Linked DNA regions of Saccharomyces cerevisiae S288C. Each later gene encodes a partner of the first gene's protein in a complex. Each region holds a gene or a part of one and is shown on either strand. Other genes may lie near its edges. The genes, in order: CDC11 and BNI5.

Region 1 (3,877 bases):
AAGAGGGACGACCAACTAAACGTCAATCTAAGGAATGATCTGAATATTATGAGTTGGACGGGTTCTGGGTTGTGGACTGACACTATTTTCACGTATTTCAATGACTTTATGAGAAGTGGTGTCAGGGAGAAGGTTACATGGAAATTATTCCATAACCTAAATCAACCAAAATTGCTAAGTGATGTTCTGGTCTTTCCAAAATTCTCCTTTAACTGTCCAAACCAAATCGATAATGACGATCCACACAAGAAATTCTATTTCATTACTCATTTGGCATCACAATTTTGGAAAAATACTCCAAAGGTGGAGCAGAAATAAGTACTTCTACGCAGATATAATAAGGAACTTTTTTGTTAATTTTTTTTTGCTGATCGATATTAATACTTTTTAAGAATGAAGAAAAAAAAAAAATAATATACCAGATGTATTTACTTATATACAACACTCACTCTTTATATATATAGAGAAAGAAGAAATAAGTGAGGAAGCCAAAAGCGGACTCATTCTTCCTGTTTGATTTTCGCCTCTTTTTCCAACCTGGCTTCAATTTCTCTTAATTCCTTTTCTCTTTGCAACAGTTCTTGTCTTTTCAACAGCAGTTCTTGCTGAACTCTCTCCTCAAATGCCTTTAGTCGCTCTTCTTCTAACCGTATTTGCTCCTCACGTGTCATGTAGGTTTCGTTATTTTCGCCAGTGCTTTGCCCGTGCATATCGGATGCTGGGTTGAGAACATCGTTATTAATATTATTACTTTGCTTGAAGGGATTTGTGTTTCTCCTTGTTGTGGTGGACGATGACGACGAACCATTCAATTTTGTCAGATTTGGACGTATGGATTCTGCCGCGACAGATTCACCTGATAATGCCTCGGTTCTATATCTTTCATATAATATCTCATGTGTGTAGTTTTTCAAGTCATGTAAATGAGAGATCAATAACGCATTCCTTAAGATAACAAAATCAGAGATCGATGAATCTTCCACGTCCAGTATGCCCCATGGATACTTTCTGCCACGAATTGTCCCAACATCGCCGCCCATTTCGTAAACTTCATTGGATCCAATAATAGCAAAAGGTAGAAGTGTACGTAGGTACATATTGGTTTCGTAATCTTCGTCTGATATTTCATCTTCATCGAAAGGGAAATTATAAATTGGCAAGTTCCATCTGTCGATATCCTCCATGATCAATTTTTTATTCAGTTTCAGTTCATCTCTTGTCAAGGAATCTGATTTGCTGATCACAGGGATGATGTTAACTAAGGATCCCAACTGTCTGATGAATTCCACATCAATCTCTTTTAAACCGTGGCCAGTTGGGTTGATTAAGTAAAGACAACAATGAACTCTGCCGTCCTTAAATCTTGGGTTTCTTCTCACACGACTTTCTTCCAATAAGATTTCATCATATTGGTGGCGAATGTAGTCGGAAATGATTTCGAAAGATGGAGAATTGTCGAGAGAATCACCGAATCCCGGAGTATCGATGATATTAAGTTGAATCTTGACACCTTCATCATCTTCTAATTCGACCGTCTCCTCTCTCAATTGTAAGTCTATTTCTGTGGACGTATCTGTGGGTAACAAGATTGTCGTCGAAGTGTCTACAACTTGCTGACCGCACAAAGTATTTATAAAAGTCGATCTACCAGATCCGGACTGGCCCACGATCATCACAGTGAAGGTTATACCTCTTTTCAAATGCTTTCTTTTTCTTAATGCAGAAGATGCGTCAATTATTCCGGACATGGCTGGTGGTTAGCAACTTTAGGCCTTGTGATGATTGACTTTCTAAACGGCTCCAGATCGGGTCGCCAATACGTGGTGTCTACCTATTTTACTTTTCGATCAAATACTTTTTTGTTTATTTTTCTTTATGTTAGAAGGCGGAAAAATAAAGAATACTGGCGATCCTGCATGGTCGGGTAACGACCCACGAGCATTGTGTTGTGTAAATATAGCCATATTTAAGCTATATTTATCTGTATAACATATACGTGTCCGTATGTGCCCGACCAAATATGTTACTGCGATGAAATGGATTGAGAACGATGTTTAAATGTTATGTTCCATGTTGTGTTTTCCACCAAAAAACCGTGAAGGACAATTCAATGAGCAAAGGGTTTAACGGAGCTATAACCTGCTTTTGTAGATGAAAAAATAGAAAATTCAAATATATATATATATATATATTTATAATAGCATGTTAATTTACAGATATTTGGACTTTTGCAAAGTCAGTAAATACATGGAATAAGAATACTAGTGATTGAATAGAGTACATTTAAACAGATTTATTTATTTCTTTCCTTTGTTGACTCTTTCTTAGAATATGAAAAAAAAAAGGGGCTCCGGTGGTGATGAGGAGAGAATATATATGCATGTATCAATCAAGACCATTTCTAATGACCACCACCACCAATTTCAATGGTTGGTGGGCAACCCAAAGTGCTCTTTAAAGAACCATAAATACCAAATTGCAAGGAGGTCAAGGTACCAACCATGACCAAACGAGTAGGCAACCCAGCAAAGGAACCGAAAAATCCTAACTGTTTGGCCAACTGAGCCAACAAACCGACTGTGGATTGGCCAGGAGCCTTCTTAGTCTTGTTGACCTTGGACAACAGAGTGTCTGCTGGCTGGGAAACAATGGCAGCGGCCAAACCAGCAGTCAAACCGGAAAGCAAATTCAACAAAGTAGTGGAAGTAGAGGACAATTTTTCTTTTGGACCGGCGAACCCGTAGTAGAACTCGGAGGCACGTTCAAAGACCAAGAATTTAGCAATGTTGTAAGGAATTTGCTTGAACAAAATTGGAGTGAACCCACTGTAGAAAGAGCCGATACCTTCTTCTTTCAAAATTCTGGAAAACCCTCCGACGAGTCCATTAGCGAACTGTGGTTGGGAGACCAATCTGATTCTAGTGGCTTCTAGGGGACACAAGGCAATGTCTGCCAAGAATTCGGCCATGGCAGCAGAACCCATGTAAACAGAGTTCTTGTAGCGAGAGGCGGTATCGTAACCCAAGTTGTCAATGAAGAACTTCTTGAACACTTCGTAACCACCGAACTTGAAGGCACCTTGGATAGAGTAACCCAACAAAGTAGGACCAAACCCGGTCAACAACGCACCAGCACCTTCTCCGGCGATGATTTGCTTGAAAGAGCCGACCATACCCTTGTTGTACACGGTAGGTTCCAGTTGGATTCTCGTCTTAACGACATCGATCGGGACCATACTGGAGTGAGTCGACCCGCACCCTATGGCGCCGGCTAGGGCGAATTTCATGTAGTCAGAGACAGAGTACTGTGGAATAGCAGGAGCAGCAGACACAGACATGGTGAGATGAGACTTTTTGATCTTTGTAGTTCTTCTTCTTGCAGATCACTCTGTTCTTTGCGATGGTTCTTGTAGATAAAAAGATCGGGAGGATGGATCGCACTTAAAAATCTTCTCGAAACGGGCCGCGGCCGGGCATGGGACCCGTTCTCGACGCTGATTGGCTAACGATGGTTGGGCAGAGTCTCAGCTGCTGCTTGCTCACATTCGACAAAAGACTAGAGGAAAGCAGTACCATGCTGCGATACTGTTGCATCGCAGCATTCCGCTGTCCAAAAACAATACCTGTTGTATTGTTTGAGGCTGGCAGGCGCTTGGGTAGAAACAACACCCGATACTGGTGACAGGGCTATCTATAAATATTAAAACTTGACTCCGCAATTCGTCGTAAACTGCCTTAACCATCGTAATGGACGCCGTGCAAATGCTTCGACTTTTCCCAGTAGTCAGGCATTGCGCCAGACACTTGTGCTGCTTAATTGTCGTAATGAAAACATATCGGTAGCGGCCTTTTTTTATTTTTTTTCTCTATGGGCTGAC
Region 2 (12,241 bases), on another chromosome or scaffold:
TGCTGCTTTATCTTGCGTTCCTTTAGTCAACAAATCTGGTCGTCTTTCAAAGTACATATAGTTTGATATGGTACCATTATTAAAGCCGCTCTGAACGGGAGATTGTGATTGCTGCTGCTGTTGTTGCTGCTGTTGTTGTTGTTGTATTTGCATATGTTGCTGTTGTTGTTGTTGTTGTTGCTGCTGCTGGTATTGAAGTTGTTGCTGTTGTTGCCGGGAATTTTGTTGCTGTGCTTGGGAAAGTTGTTGCTGAACTTGGACATTTTCCTGTTCTTGTTGTAACCTCTGGAAGCTTTTCACACTCCTTAACCCGCTTGAATATGACCCATTGCTCCGTAGCGTTTGCGGTTGGTGGAACGGACTACTAGAAGAACTGCCATTTAAATTTTGATTGTACTCTGACTCTATAGAATATTGGCCCGGTGATAATTGGGGTAATTGTGCATTCCCACTCCCATTACCGTTCTGAACCATGCTCTGGGAATTATTATTATGTCTATAAAGACCACCCATCGACGGCGGTGGGGTATTGATCATCTGATTTGAAGCTGCGTAATTATTATGTGGTGGTGGTGTGGCTGGATAATTCAGGGCTGGAACGTCTGTAAAACCGCTGCCAAGGTTACCTGTCTCACGTTGTAAATGCTCTTGTAACGATTGATGAGAGCCTTGCTCTTTCATGTAGTTGCTACTAAATCCTGCAGCAGGCGGTCTAGGAATTTGCTGATACGGATTCATTTCGTTGGCGTATTGTTGTTGTTGTTGATGCTGTTGGTCTTGTTGTTGGGACATATAATAGCCATGTCCTGAAGTAGGTGCACCCTCATGATGATTGGTGCTGCTATTATACATTGCGAAAACTGCAGAGGATTACAGAAGGATCAGCGCAGACGTGTACCTATACTGAAATTTACGCTTACGTTTCAAAAAAAGAGCGATATCTATGTGGTAATATCAGTGTTCGCCGATAATAAAGCAATATCTGAACCCTTATTCGTGTGATATAGAAATTTATATGACCTTGCTCAACTATTCAAACGAAAAATGATCTTTGAATGTTAAAAATAGTCGCTGGACTGCAGATCAAACTGGAGTGCAACTGCTTCTCTGGAAACTAATCATTTTCGTCGAATAAGAATGATGGTTACCCGACCGACACGCGTCCTAGAGCGCCCGAACCGTACTAACGCATCATTAGTTGCAGGAATTATCGTAAAGTTTTATATTGTAATAATATGTAATTATATCAGATTTTAAAGCAAAGAAAATACAAAAGCGAAACCCATAAAGAGATTCAGAATTGCAAAGCTTGACCCTTTTGCTTCTTTTCACCACCCAATTCGAAGTGCTTGCATCTCTTCAAGGTCAATTGGGCTCTGGTCTTACATTTGACACATTCCAATCTCAAAACAACCTTCTTGGTAGTCTTAGCTTTCTTGTGGAAAACAGGCTTGGTTTGACCACCGAAACCAGATTGTTTACGGTCATAACGTCTCTTACCTTGGGCAAACAAGGAAGCCTTACCAGCTTTGTATTGAGTAACCTTGTGTTGAGTGTGCTTACGACAGGTCTTACCCTTACAGTAGGTCTTTCTGGTCTTTGGAACGTTAACTAAATAGAAGAAATAGATGAGACATCGTACTAATGTTAGTAAAAAAGTTTATTATTAGAAAAAATCAGTAAGGTGGTAAGCAAAATCTAGCATATTGAAAAGAAATAACAGTTATCCAACTTATCCCCTCTACGTTTCCTTCCTCAAAGAATATCACTGCACAATCTGAAGATAGCGAGGGAAATAGAAGCCTTTTTTGAGCTTCACAAATAGGCTACTGTGCTGTTTGGAGCTTTTTCAGAGCATATTATCAGAAAAACAGAAAGGATCCTCCATGCATATGATACTCTGTTGCTGCATATCTCGGTTTCATTGCTGACTGCTGAACTTTTATTGCGCATCGTTTAGTTTTGTGTATACGCCCTTTTTAGGCGCAGATTATACAGTTGCTAGGTGTGTCTGTTTATGCATTCATGACGATTATGAAATTTCATTGACAATAAAAATCAAATTAGCTTTTCTTTATTGGTCCTGATTTTATTCACCATTAGGAATTATGGTTATAACATACCCATTTTTACTGATAATTGTTGTTTTCCTCTATTAAGGATTAGATTTCAAGATGCATTTGGACCACTTAATGGTGCTATTATCTGCCTCCTTCGCGCTCATGTACTAGCCCTTCGAAGGTAGATTGAACCGCCTTTCCCGGGCAAAAGAGAAGGTTGCGCTATTTCCTGTGACCCAATCACTCTGCGGGCCAGCTGCTGTAACCTTCCTACTGGTCCGGCCTATTGGCACTAGACAAAGCTCCCTTCCCTGGCAGGATCAGTCCTGGCGTTAGGCGGAATTCAGGTGTTAAATGTCCGCAAGAGAAAAAATAGATAAATAAAAAAAAAGTATAACTCGAAGTAAATGTCTAGGTTTTACTTTAGATGTAAGGATGTAAGATCTCTGAATGTAGGACAGCATTTGGTAGAAAACTGTTATTATATGCCGATATGACAGCTACATATTTGCTATTTGTCACTGCGGTTTGGCGTTCCAAAACGCATTAGTCTATATTGGTGATGAATAATTGACAAGTTTTAATGCCAAAGCTAGACAAGTTATTACACACTTTTTAGTTTTCCTTGTACGAACTTTTTTGGGTTTCACATAGAAAGTAGATTATTCGTAAAAACCGGATACTTGATCTTCACTCTTTGAGACCTTTAATTATGTCGCTTCTTTTATGTTAATTTCAACTATCATGTTATTGCTCTTTATATTGTTATCGCTCATATTTGACTCTGCAATGGCGTTACTAGGGATAATGAAAGATAATGAACAGCAATAGTGCAACTATTTTATGGTTTGCTTCGTGAAGATAATCTTTTTTTTGCAACTTTTAAGACGTCATTATCGTCTACATACGTTAGATTTTCGAGTACTTCTCTTTGATTGAATGGGTAGCCGCAGACTAAGCTGGGACATATTATAATGGCATAATTTTGCTGTACTAAACACTTTTGAAGTCTTTCATTGCAATTTGGACAAAATACTTGGGAGTCGGGCTTATCAGACATCTTTTAATGACGTGTTCGTTTGTATGTAGTTTTGGTATACTGGATATTCGATATATTGTAAAGTGGAATTTTCAGCTCATCGCTTCCTTTTTCTTTTTCCTACGAGAAAAGAAATTTTGAAAAATGGGAACTTAAGAGCCAAGAATATTGATAGATAGGTGCACCCGAAATACAATCTTTGTACATCATCAAGATTATCAAAATAGTTTATAAAATAACCAAACTCAGTTATTTTTCTAAGCACGATAAGCAAATATGCCTAGAGTGGAATCGGAGACTTACAAACGTCTGCAAAATGACCCTTCCTGTATAAGAAATATATGTATTGTTGCTCATGTTGATCACGGTAAAACTTCACTTTCAGATTCTCTTTTGGCTTCGAATGGTATTATATCACAAAGGCTTGCCGGCAAAATTCGATTCTTAGATGCCAGGCCTGACGAACAACTACGTGGTATCACAATGGAATCATCGGCTATCTCTTTATATTTTAGGGTATTGCGTAAACAAGAAGGTTCCGATGAGCCTCTTGTAAGCGAGCATCTAGTAAACTTAATTGATTCCCCAGGTCACATTGATTTTTCAAGTGAGGTCAGTGCAGCTTCAAGACTATGTGATGGTGCTGTCGTACTGGTTGATGTCGTAGAGGGGGTATGCTCGCAAACCGTCACAGTGTTGAGACAATGTTGGACGGAGAAGCTGAAGCCCATTTTAGTATTGAATAAGATTGATAGATTGATCACAGAACTACAACTAACTCCCCAAGAAGCTTATATTCACTTGTCCAAAGTCATTGAACAAGTCAACTCAGTTATCGGGTCCTTTTTCGCAAACGAGAGACAATTGGATGATTTATTTTGGAGGGAGCAATTAGAAAAGAACGAAAACGCGGAATATATTGAAAAGGATGATTCGGGTATTTACTTTAACCCTACTGATAACAACGTTATTTTTGCTTCCGCAATTGATGGTTGGGGTTTCAACATCGGTCAATTGGCCAAATTTTACGAACAAAAATTAGGCGCTAAAAGGGAAAACCTACAGAAAGTTTTATGGGGTGATTTCTATATGGATCCCAAGACAAAAAAAATTATTAACAATAAAGGCCTTAAGGGAAGATCCCTGAAACCCCTTTTCACATCGCTAATCCTCGAAAATATATGGAAAATTTATCAAAACATAATCACATCGAGAGATTCTGAAATGGTCGAAAAAATAGCAAAAACTTTAAATATTAAGCTACTTGCACGTGATCTAAGGTCGAAGGACGATAAACAATTGTTAAGAACTATCATGGGTCAATGGCTACCCGTCAGCACAGCAGTATTGTTAACAGTTATTGAAAAATTACCTTCACCTTTGGAATCACAAACCGATCGTTTGAACACTATTTTGGTCTCCGAATCCGACACAGCAGCCATGGATCCAAGACTTCTGAAAGCCATGAAGACATGTGATAAAGAAGGACCAGTTAGTGCATACGTATCTAAGATGCTTTCAATTCCTAGAGAAGAATTACCTGTTGAATCTAAGAGGATAGCATCTTCGGATGAGCTGATGGAGAGAAGTAGAAAGGCACGTGAGGAAGCACTTAATGCTGCAAAACATGCTGGTATGGTAGAAAATATGGCAATGATGGATTTGAATGACAATTCTAAAAATACATCAGATTTATATAAAAGAGCAAAAGATACCGTTATGACCCCCGAAGTAGGAGAACAGACAAAGCCAAAACCTTCAAGAAATAATGATGTTTTCTGTGTTGTTTCAGAGCCTTCTTCCGCCTTGGATTTAGAATTTGAATATGAGGGGGAGGATGATTCAGATAGTCAAGATAACTTCGGCCTAGATTTTGTACCAACTGACATAGATCCAAATGACCCTCTAAGTTCAATGTTTGAATATGAGGAAGAAGATCCACTTTTGGAGAGTATTAAGCAAATTTCAGAGGATGTGAACGATGAAGTAGATGATATTTTTGACGAAAAGGAAGAATGCTTGGTAGCATTTGCAAGAATATACAGTGGCACACTAAGAGTTGGTCAGGAGATTTCGGTATTGGGTCCAAAATATGATCCAAAATGTCCAGAGGAGCATATTGAAACTGCGATTATTACGCATTTATATTTGTTTATGGGTAAGGAATTGGTTCCTTTGGACGTTTGTCCATCAGGAAATATAGTCGGTATTCGTGGTCTGGCCGGTAAAGTTTTAAAGAGTGGTACGTTGATAGAGAAGGGCGTACAAGGCGTCAATCTAGCGGGCGTCAATTTCCATTTTACGCCAATCGTTCGTGTTGCTGTGGAGCCAGCCAATCCTGTGGAAATGAGCAAGTTGGTACGAGGATTAAAGTTGTTGGATCAAGCAGATCCTTGCGTGCACACATACGTTGAAAATACTGGTGAACACATTCTGTGTACGGCCGGTGAATTACATTTAGAAAGATGCCTAAAAGATTTAACAGAGAGATTTGCAGGAATAGAAATTACACATTCTGAACCGGCTATTCCATATAGGGAAACATTTTTATCAGCCTCAGATATGAATCCACCGCAGAATTCACAGCTGGGAAGGGGTGTTCATGAACTACTATTGAGCCAGTACAAGATTACATTCAGAACGTTCCCATTAAGCGGTAAAGTTACAGACTTTTTATCTCAACATCAAAATAGCATTAAAAACATTTTGAAGACGTCCACTTCAAGCATGGATCCCGTCATAGAATCAACTGGAAGTTCTTTTCTAGACAAAAAGTCTTTACTCGTTGCTTTTGAAGAGGTCATAAATCAGGAGGAGAAGAGCAGAGAACTATTAAGTGGGTTTAAAGTAAAGTTAGCAGGTTTTGGGCCAAGTAGAGTTGGGTGCAACATTTTGCTGTCGCAGGATAATCTTCTTGGAAGCCTATTTGAAGGTACTCCAGCAGCCTTTGAGTATTCAGATTCCATCAAAAATGGCTTCCAACTGGCTGTTAGCGAAGGACCTCTGGCAAATGAGCCCGTACAGGGAATGTGTGTTCTTGTTGAAAGCGTACATAAGATGTCACAAGACGAAATTGAATCTATTGAAGATCCGCGCTACCAACAACATATTGTGGACTTATCAGGGAGGTTGATAACTTCTACAAGGGACGCTATACATGAGGCCTTTTTAGACTGGTCCCCAAGAATTATGTGGGCAATTTACTCATGTGATATTCAAACCTCTGTCGATGTACTTGGAAAAGTGTATGCCGTTATTCTACAGAGGCATGGTAAAATCATTTCTGAAGAAATGAAAGAAGGTACACCGTTTTTTCAAATTGAGGCACATGTGCCCGTTGTGGAAGCATTCGGTTTAAGTGAAGATATTCGTAAACGAACATCTGGTGCAGCACAACCTCAATTGGTATTTTCCGGATTCGAGTGTATCGATTTAGATCCATTTTGGGTCCCAACCACAGAAGAAGAATTGGAGGAACTAGGTGATACAGCAGATAGAGAGAATATTGCCCGTAAGCATATGAATGCCATCAGAAGAAGGAAAGGTCTATTCATTGAAGAAAAAGTTGTCGAAAATGCCGAAAAACAACGTACTTTGAAAAAGAATTAAGGTTTTTTAGGGTTTATATGAATCATAGACTAATATAGATAGTTTTCACTAGTTGAAAATATATATAAATATATGTATGTATGTATGTATATTCACTTGAATATGAGATGAAATAGCACAGTTTTCAAGCATTTCCAGTCTTACGTATTCTATGATATACTACATACTCTCGCGCGAGTGAATGTTTTAGCGATGGGACAAGAAAGTTGAGATGATCTGGACGATGAGAATGGCAAAATAAGCGAGAGCTACAGCAAGAACTACAGATTGCACTTTTTGCATATACCCTGAATAGGAATTTCTTTGCTAAATATTTGGTAATTTGTTATCCATATTTACTGATATCGTGCTTCTTACGACGAATTTATAGCTTTAATCATATTCTCTTCTCTTCTATTTTCATGCCATATCATCAAGAAAATGACACCTACAAACCAATCTAGTGGAACGACTAATGCATCTGTGGAGGTACTTTCAGAGGATGGACCTATGCCAATAAACGTTATGATGCAAGAAGGTGTGAAAGCGCTGACTAAAATTCTTTCCAATCAGCTTCAAGACAGACAAGCTTTTCAAAACGCTCCTCATGCAATGCAATTCGTTATAAGAAATGGAGGAAAAGCTTTATCAAATGCACGGTTAGAAGAGCTCAAAGATGCTCTTCCTAAGATGGACTCGTTGAGTTTGGAAGATGAACTTGCGAAAATAGATGGCCAAAGTGCATACCACATTGATTCCGCAGAGGAAAAGGAAACCTTTGAAAGTAAAATAGGCCAAATAGCTTCTAGAAATAGTGCAGACTTCATAATAGAGGAGGACTTGCAAAATATTTTAGATGATGATCTTAAAGACTCAGAACTTAACTTGGATGGCGAAGAAGCCGAAATAATTTTCGATTATGAGAGCCAAGAACTGGATACACCGGATGGTATAGGGGAAAAGATTTCTCAAATGATAGAATCGGTGTTACCGGGAGGGTTTGGAAGTGAAGAACAGGGGGGGTTGCGAACTGTAACAAATGTAGAGGATTTAGATGTTGCAGAAGAAGTCACAGATATCGATCATGATACCGTTGACGCAGCTCGTTTGCATGGAGACGGTCAACATTCCATATCTTCTAGAAAGCACAGCAGGTCAAAGAACTCGAAAAAGAATGGGCATGTAAGGCGACATGACTTTTATGACGAATCTAGAGACCATAAAAGTTGTTGCCCGCATCATCATTATGAAAACTTATCCAAACTACGAAACTACTATTATCATGATTTTGAATATATTTCCAGAACGGAAAACCGTGTTCCAGATTTCTCTGTCCTAGTTAACGAATCAAGTCCCATGTGTTTATTTTGCGAGTACTACATGGTGTTTGGTGAACCACCACGTAACATGATAAAGTGGTATAATCGTACGTTTGGTTACAATCGTATGCCGAATCCACCAAGAGATGAACAAGATAGTAGGAAAAGGAATAGATAGTCAACATTATTACTGTAGGAATAAAGTAGTATAGGGAACATTACATAATAGAGGAAAACTTGTGAGGAAAACTTGTGACATTCTAAACGTATTTAAGAGTTATTGAAAAATTAATGGTGTACGACAATATTTCTCTTTGAATATTTATATGCTTCTTAGCGGTATTATGACTAAATAGTAACAGGAAAAAACACAAGTAAATGCAAATGGGTTTACATCAGTAATCCTGCCGGTCCATTTAGCATATATGTGGTCGAGCTGCCCCATGCGGTGTGGCGTTTCTCCTTTCTTGATTCATATTCATGTAATAGCATGCACATGCAAGTAAGTATCTGACTATCCCACGGCACATTTTCAATGATATTAGAGCCCATTTCAGTATAATTGGTAGATGTTAAACTAGAGCCATCATCAAACGAATCAGTTTCTTGTAAGTACAAGGTAGCTACTCTCAAAGTTCTTTTTTTCGGTATGACACTAACTTTATCATCTGTGTATCTGGCCCATACTGGGAGATAACCCAGCGGTCTTGTGGGACGGGAACGGCTGTAAGAATCAAACTCTTCAATAGTTTGTTGGTTCATGTAGGATGCCATCGTATCATCGAGTACAAGTAGGTTGATGCTATTTGAGCCAAAAGGTGAAGCTAAACTAGTTGTCCCGTACCAACGAAGATTTAATCCATGAATTGCCGTATCCGCATTTTTCCTTTGATTGTAATTAATCATGGGGATATGAACATCAGGTTCATCTTTTCTATGAAATATAAAATCGTGCTCTACCCTGCTCGAAAAATTATGGCTTTCCATTTTTTTTAGAATAGTGCAGAATTCATATTTATATATGGAGACATTTTCGTTTATTCGAGAGACCACTTCTGAGTTTAATGGAGGTTTATCGCATTGGGAGTCTATCATAACGTATTTATATATCCTCATTACCGGTGTATTTTGATCACTGAAAAGCGACTTGACCAGGTTTAAAGAAATGGCGTGAAATAGGGGAAGTCCTAGACCCCTCTTTGGATCAATGTTATCGAGCTTCCTCTTGTTGTGTAAAAATAGCTGGAGAGATTCTTCACTGGGGAATGCAAAAAACCCTCGTTGTAGTAGCACCGAAACGAATGGCATGGCTCTTTCTGACGTGAATCTTGGGGCTCTGTTAACATAACCCTGTCTTTGTAGGTCTCCAATTGTTGAGCCTTCTGATACCGCTGTATTCAAAGTAGCTGCATCCGCACTATCATCGCCCTCGTTGGCAGAGGTTTCCAGAGATTCATTTTCTCGTGCAAATATTGTAGATTGGTCGTCTCCATAACCATTAGCTCCCAAGAGATTGACGGTGGATGGAGACCCACTGTGAGGATACGGAGGATGTTGGCGATTATGTCGGCGTCCCCGGCGATTTCCAATCAAAGAGCGTACTCTATCCATGCGGATCTTTGGCAAATGTATGTAGCACTTCTCCTATCGTTCAATTTGATGCTCTTTCTTTTCCAAAAGCCTTACTTGTTCTTCTTCTTCACTAGTAGTGAAGGGCTTTAGAGATGCCCAGAACCCAGACCATTTTAGACGCGTTATGAAATAAATATTGCGCTGAAAATTCAAACTTCATAATAAACAAAAATCATTAATAGTTTTGTAATTTGATTTACTGTTATGGTGATGCTATGTTAGTGTGAAATAGAACAACAGAAACGATGGGCTTGGACCAGGACAAGATAAAGAAGAGGCTTTCTCAAATAGAGATAGATATCAACCAGATGAACCAGATGATTGACGAAAATTTACAATTAGTTGAACCTGCGGAGGACGAAGCTGTCGAAGATAATGTCAAGGATACGGGTGTGGTCGACGCTGTAAAGGTGGCAGAAACGGCTCTTTTTAGTGGCAATGATGGAGCGGATAGTAACCCAGGAGATTCAGCTCAGGTTGAAGAGCACAAAACCGCACAGGTCCATATTCCCACTGAGAATGAAGCGAATAAGAGTACGGATGACCCATCCCAGCTATCGGTTACTCAACCTTTTATAGCGAAAGAGCAGATAACTCACACCGCCATTGCTATTGGTGACTCCTATAATTCATTTGTCGCAAATTCCGCTGGAAATGAAAAGGCAAAGGACTCCTGCACTGAGAACAAAGAAGATGGTACAGTCAATATAGATCAAAACAGGGGTGAAGCTGATGTTGAAATTATCGAAAATAATGATGATGAATGGGAGGATGAAAAATCGGATGTTGAAGAGGGGCGAGTAGATAAGGGAACAGAGGAAAACAGTGAGATTGAATCTTTCAAATCACCCATGCCCCAGAATAACACCTTGGGCGGTGAGAACAAGTTAGACGCTGAACTTGTATTAGACAAATTTTCTTCCGCTAATAAGGATCTAGATATACAACCGCAAACCATAGTTGTAGGAGGTGACAATGAATACAACCATGAGAGCAGCCGTTTAGCTGATCAAACACCCCATGACGATAATTCAGAGAATTGTCCCAATCGCTCTGGAGGAAGCACTCCCTTAGATTCTCAAACTAAAATTTTTATCCCTAAAAAGAATTCTAAAGAAGATGGTACCAATATAAATCACTTTAATTCAGATGGTGATGGACAGAAAAAAATGGCGAATTTCGAGACACGACGCCCTACAAATCCGTTCAGAGTTATCTCGGTGAGCAGCAATTCCAATTCAAGAAACGGAAGTCGTAAATCTTCACTAAATAAGTATGATTCGCCAGTCTCCTCTCCTATCACATCAGCGTCTGAGCTGGGCAGTATTGCCAAGCTGGAAAAAAGACATGATTATTTATCCATGAAATGCATTAAGTTACAAAAGGAAATTGACTATCTAAACAAGATGAATGCACAGGGTTCTTTATCTATGGAAGACGGAAAGAGACTACATAGAGCCGTAGTGAAGCTTCAAGAATATCTTGACAAGAAAACGAAGGAGAAATATGAGGTCGGAGTGTTATTAAGTAGACATCTGAGAAAGCAAATTGATCGTGGCGAAAATGGCCAATTTTGGATTGGAACTAAATGATTACATTACGCCAAGGGTTGTTATAAATATTTATAAATTAAGACAGATATATAAAGTTAAAATAAATACCAAAAGAACATAGACAATCGTAAGAGAATAAGAATCCTTTATCCTAGAGCCATCCATCTGTTATTTTTGATGTTGCTGACTTTTTTTCTGATAAATTCTATTATTTTAATAGTAAAGAGGTGAGTATTTCGCCTAAACGTAAACAAAACGATAATAAAAAAAAAAAAAAATGAAGACAAAATGTTCAGATAGTCAATTATATTGTAATAACATGAAACGGAACAATAACAGTACCCAGAATTCAATTTCAATGGCGTTGTGTCTTCTTTTCTCTAAGAACTTTCATAAACCAAGTCGTACTTAACCGCGCTAGCGATAACCCTGCTAACTTTGTCGCAGAGGGAAAAAAGTAGAATCGAAGGGAAAAATCACGAAAATTAACTGGGCTGAATAGAATGAATTCAGTCATACGGTGATGGTTTTCGAAACAAACTGCACATTTTTCCAGTTAAAAGGACCAAGTTTGGTTACTGATACGTGAGACTAATTTGTTCTCCAGAAACACAATAATTTGGTGCTACATTGCCAACGCTCAGGAGTGGTTTTAAGCTCAGAAAAGTTACTACCAAAGGGGTTCAACGTAAAAGTGAATTGTGTTTTCTTATCGAGAAAAACTCTTTTATTATTCAAGTGAGTTTTCCACTTATTAGATTCCTATCTTTTTACCGATCTCTATTATTTGATAAGTTCCTTAATCAATTCGTGGATTTTTATTTTTATTTCATTCTTTTCATTTCAATTTCTGCATTCCAAATACACCTGCCCAGTCTCTAGACCCTGCTTAATCATTATGTCAAGCGAGGAACGCTCGAGACAACCAAGTACTGTTTCAACTTTCGATTTAGAACCCAATCCTTTTGAACAAAGCTTCGCCTCTTCCAAGAAGGCTTTGTCACTTCCAGGCACGATCTCCCATCCGTCTCTACCAAAAGAGCTTTCACG

The links.
Region 2: CDC11 (region 1) and BNI5 share a complex: the UniProt entries of both Saccharomyces cerevisiae proteins name them as parts of the GIN4 complex.

The regions. Positions count from the first base shown.
Region 1 is NC_001142.9:574,854-578,730, forward strand, and holds CDC11 (septin CDC11), read right to left. Parts: upstream 1,749-3,877; coding exon 501-1,748; downstream 1-500. Other genes in the region: HOC1 (alpha-1,6-mannosyltransferase), read left to right, coding at 1-318; MIR1 (Mir1p), read right to left, coding at 2,402-3,337. UniProt on the Saccharomyces cerevisiae protein: Septins are GTPases involved in cytokinesis that assemble early in the cell cycle as a patch at the incipient bud site and form a ring approximate 15 minutes before bud emergence, which transforms into an hour-glass shaped collar of cortical filaments that spans both sides of the mother-bud neck.
Region 2 is NC_001146.8:321,208-333,448, reverse strand, and holds BNI5 (Bni5p), read left to right. Parts: upstream 1-9,883; coding exon 9,884-11,230; downstream 11,231-12,241. Other genes in the region: serine/threonine protein kinase CBK1, read right to left, coding at 1-852; 60S ribosomal protein eL42 RPL42A, read right to left, coding at 1,295-1,611, 2,124-2,127; YNL162W-A (uncharacterized protein), read right to left, coding at 2,902-3,120; GTPase RIA1, read left to right, coding at 3,376-6,708; IBD2 (Ibd2p), read left to right, coding at 7,129-8,184; YNL165W (uncharacterized protein), read right to left, coding at 8,397-9,617; SKO1 (Sko1p), read left to right, coding at 12,090-12,241. UniProt on the Saccharomyces cerevisiae protein: Required for normal septin function and cytokinesis. Its recruitment to the bud neck by CDCd11 and SHS1 ensures efficient localization at the bud neck of MYO1, the type II myosin of the actomyosin contractile ring.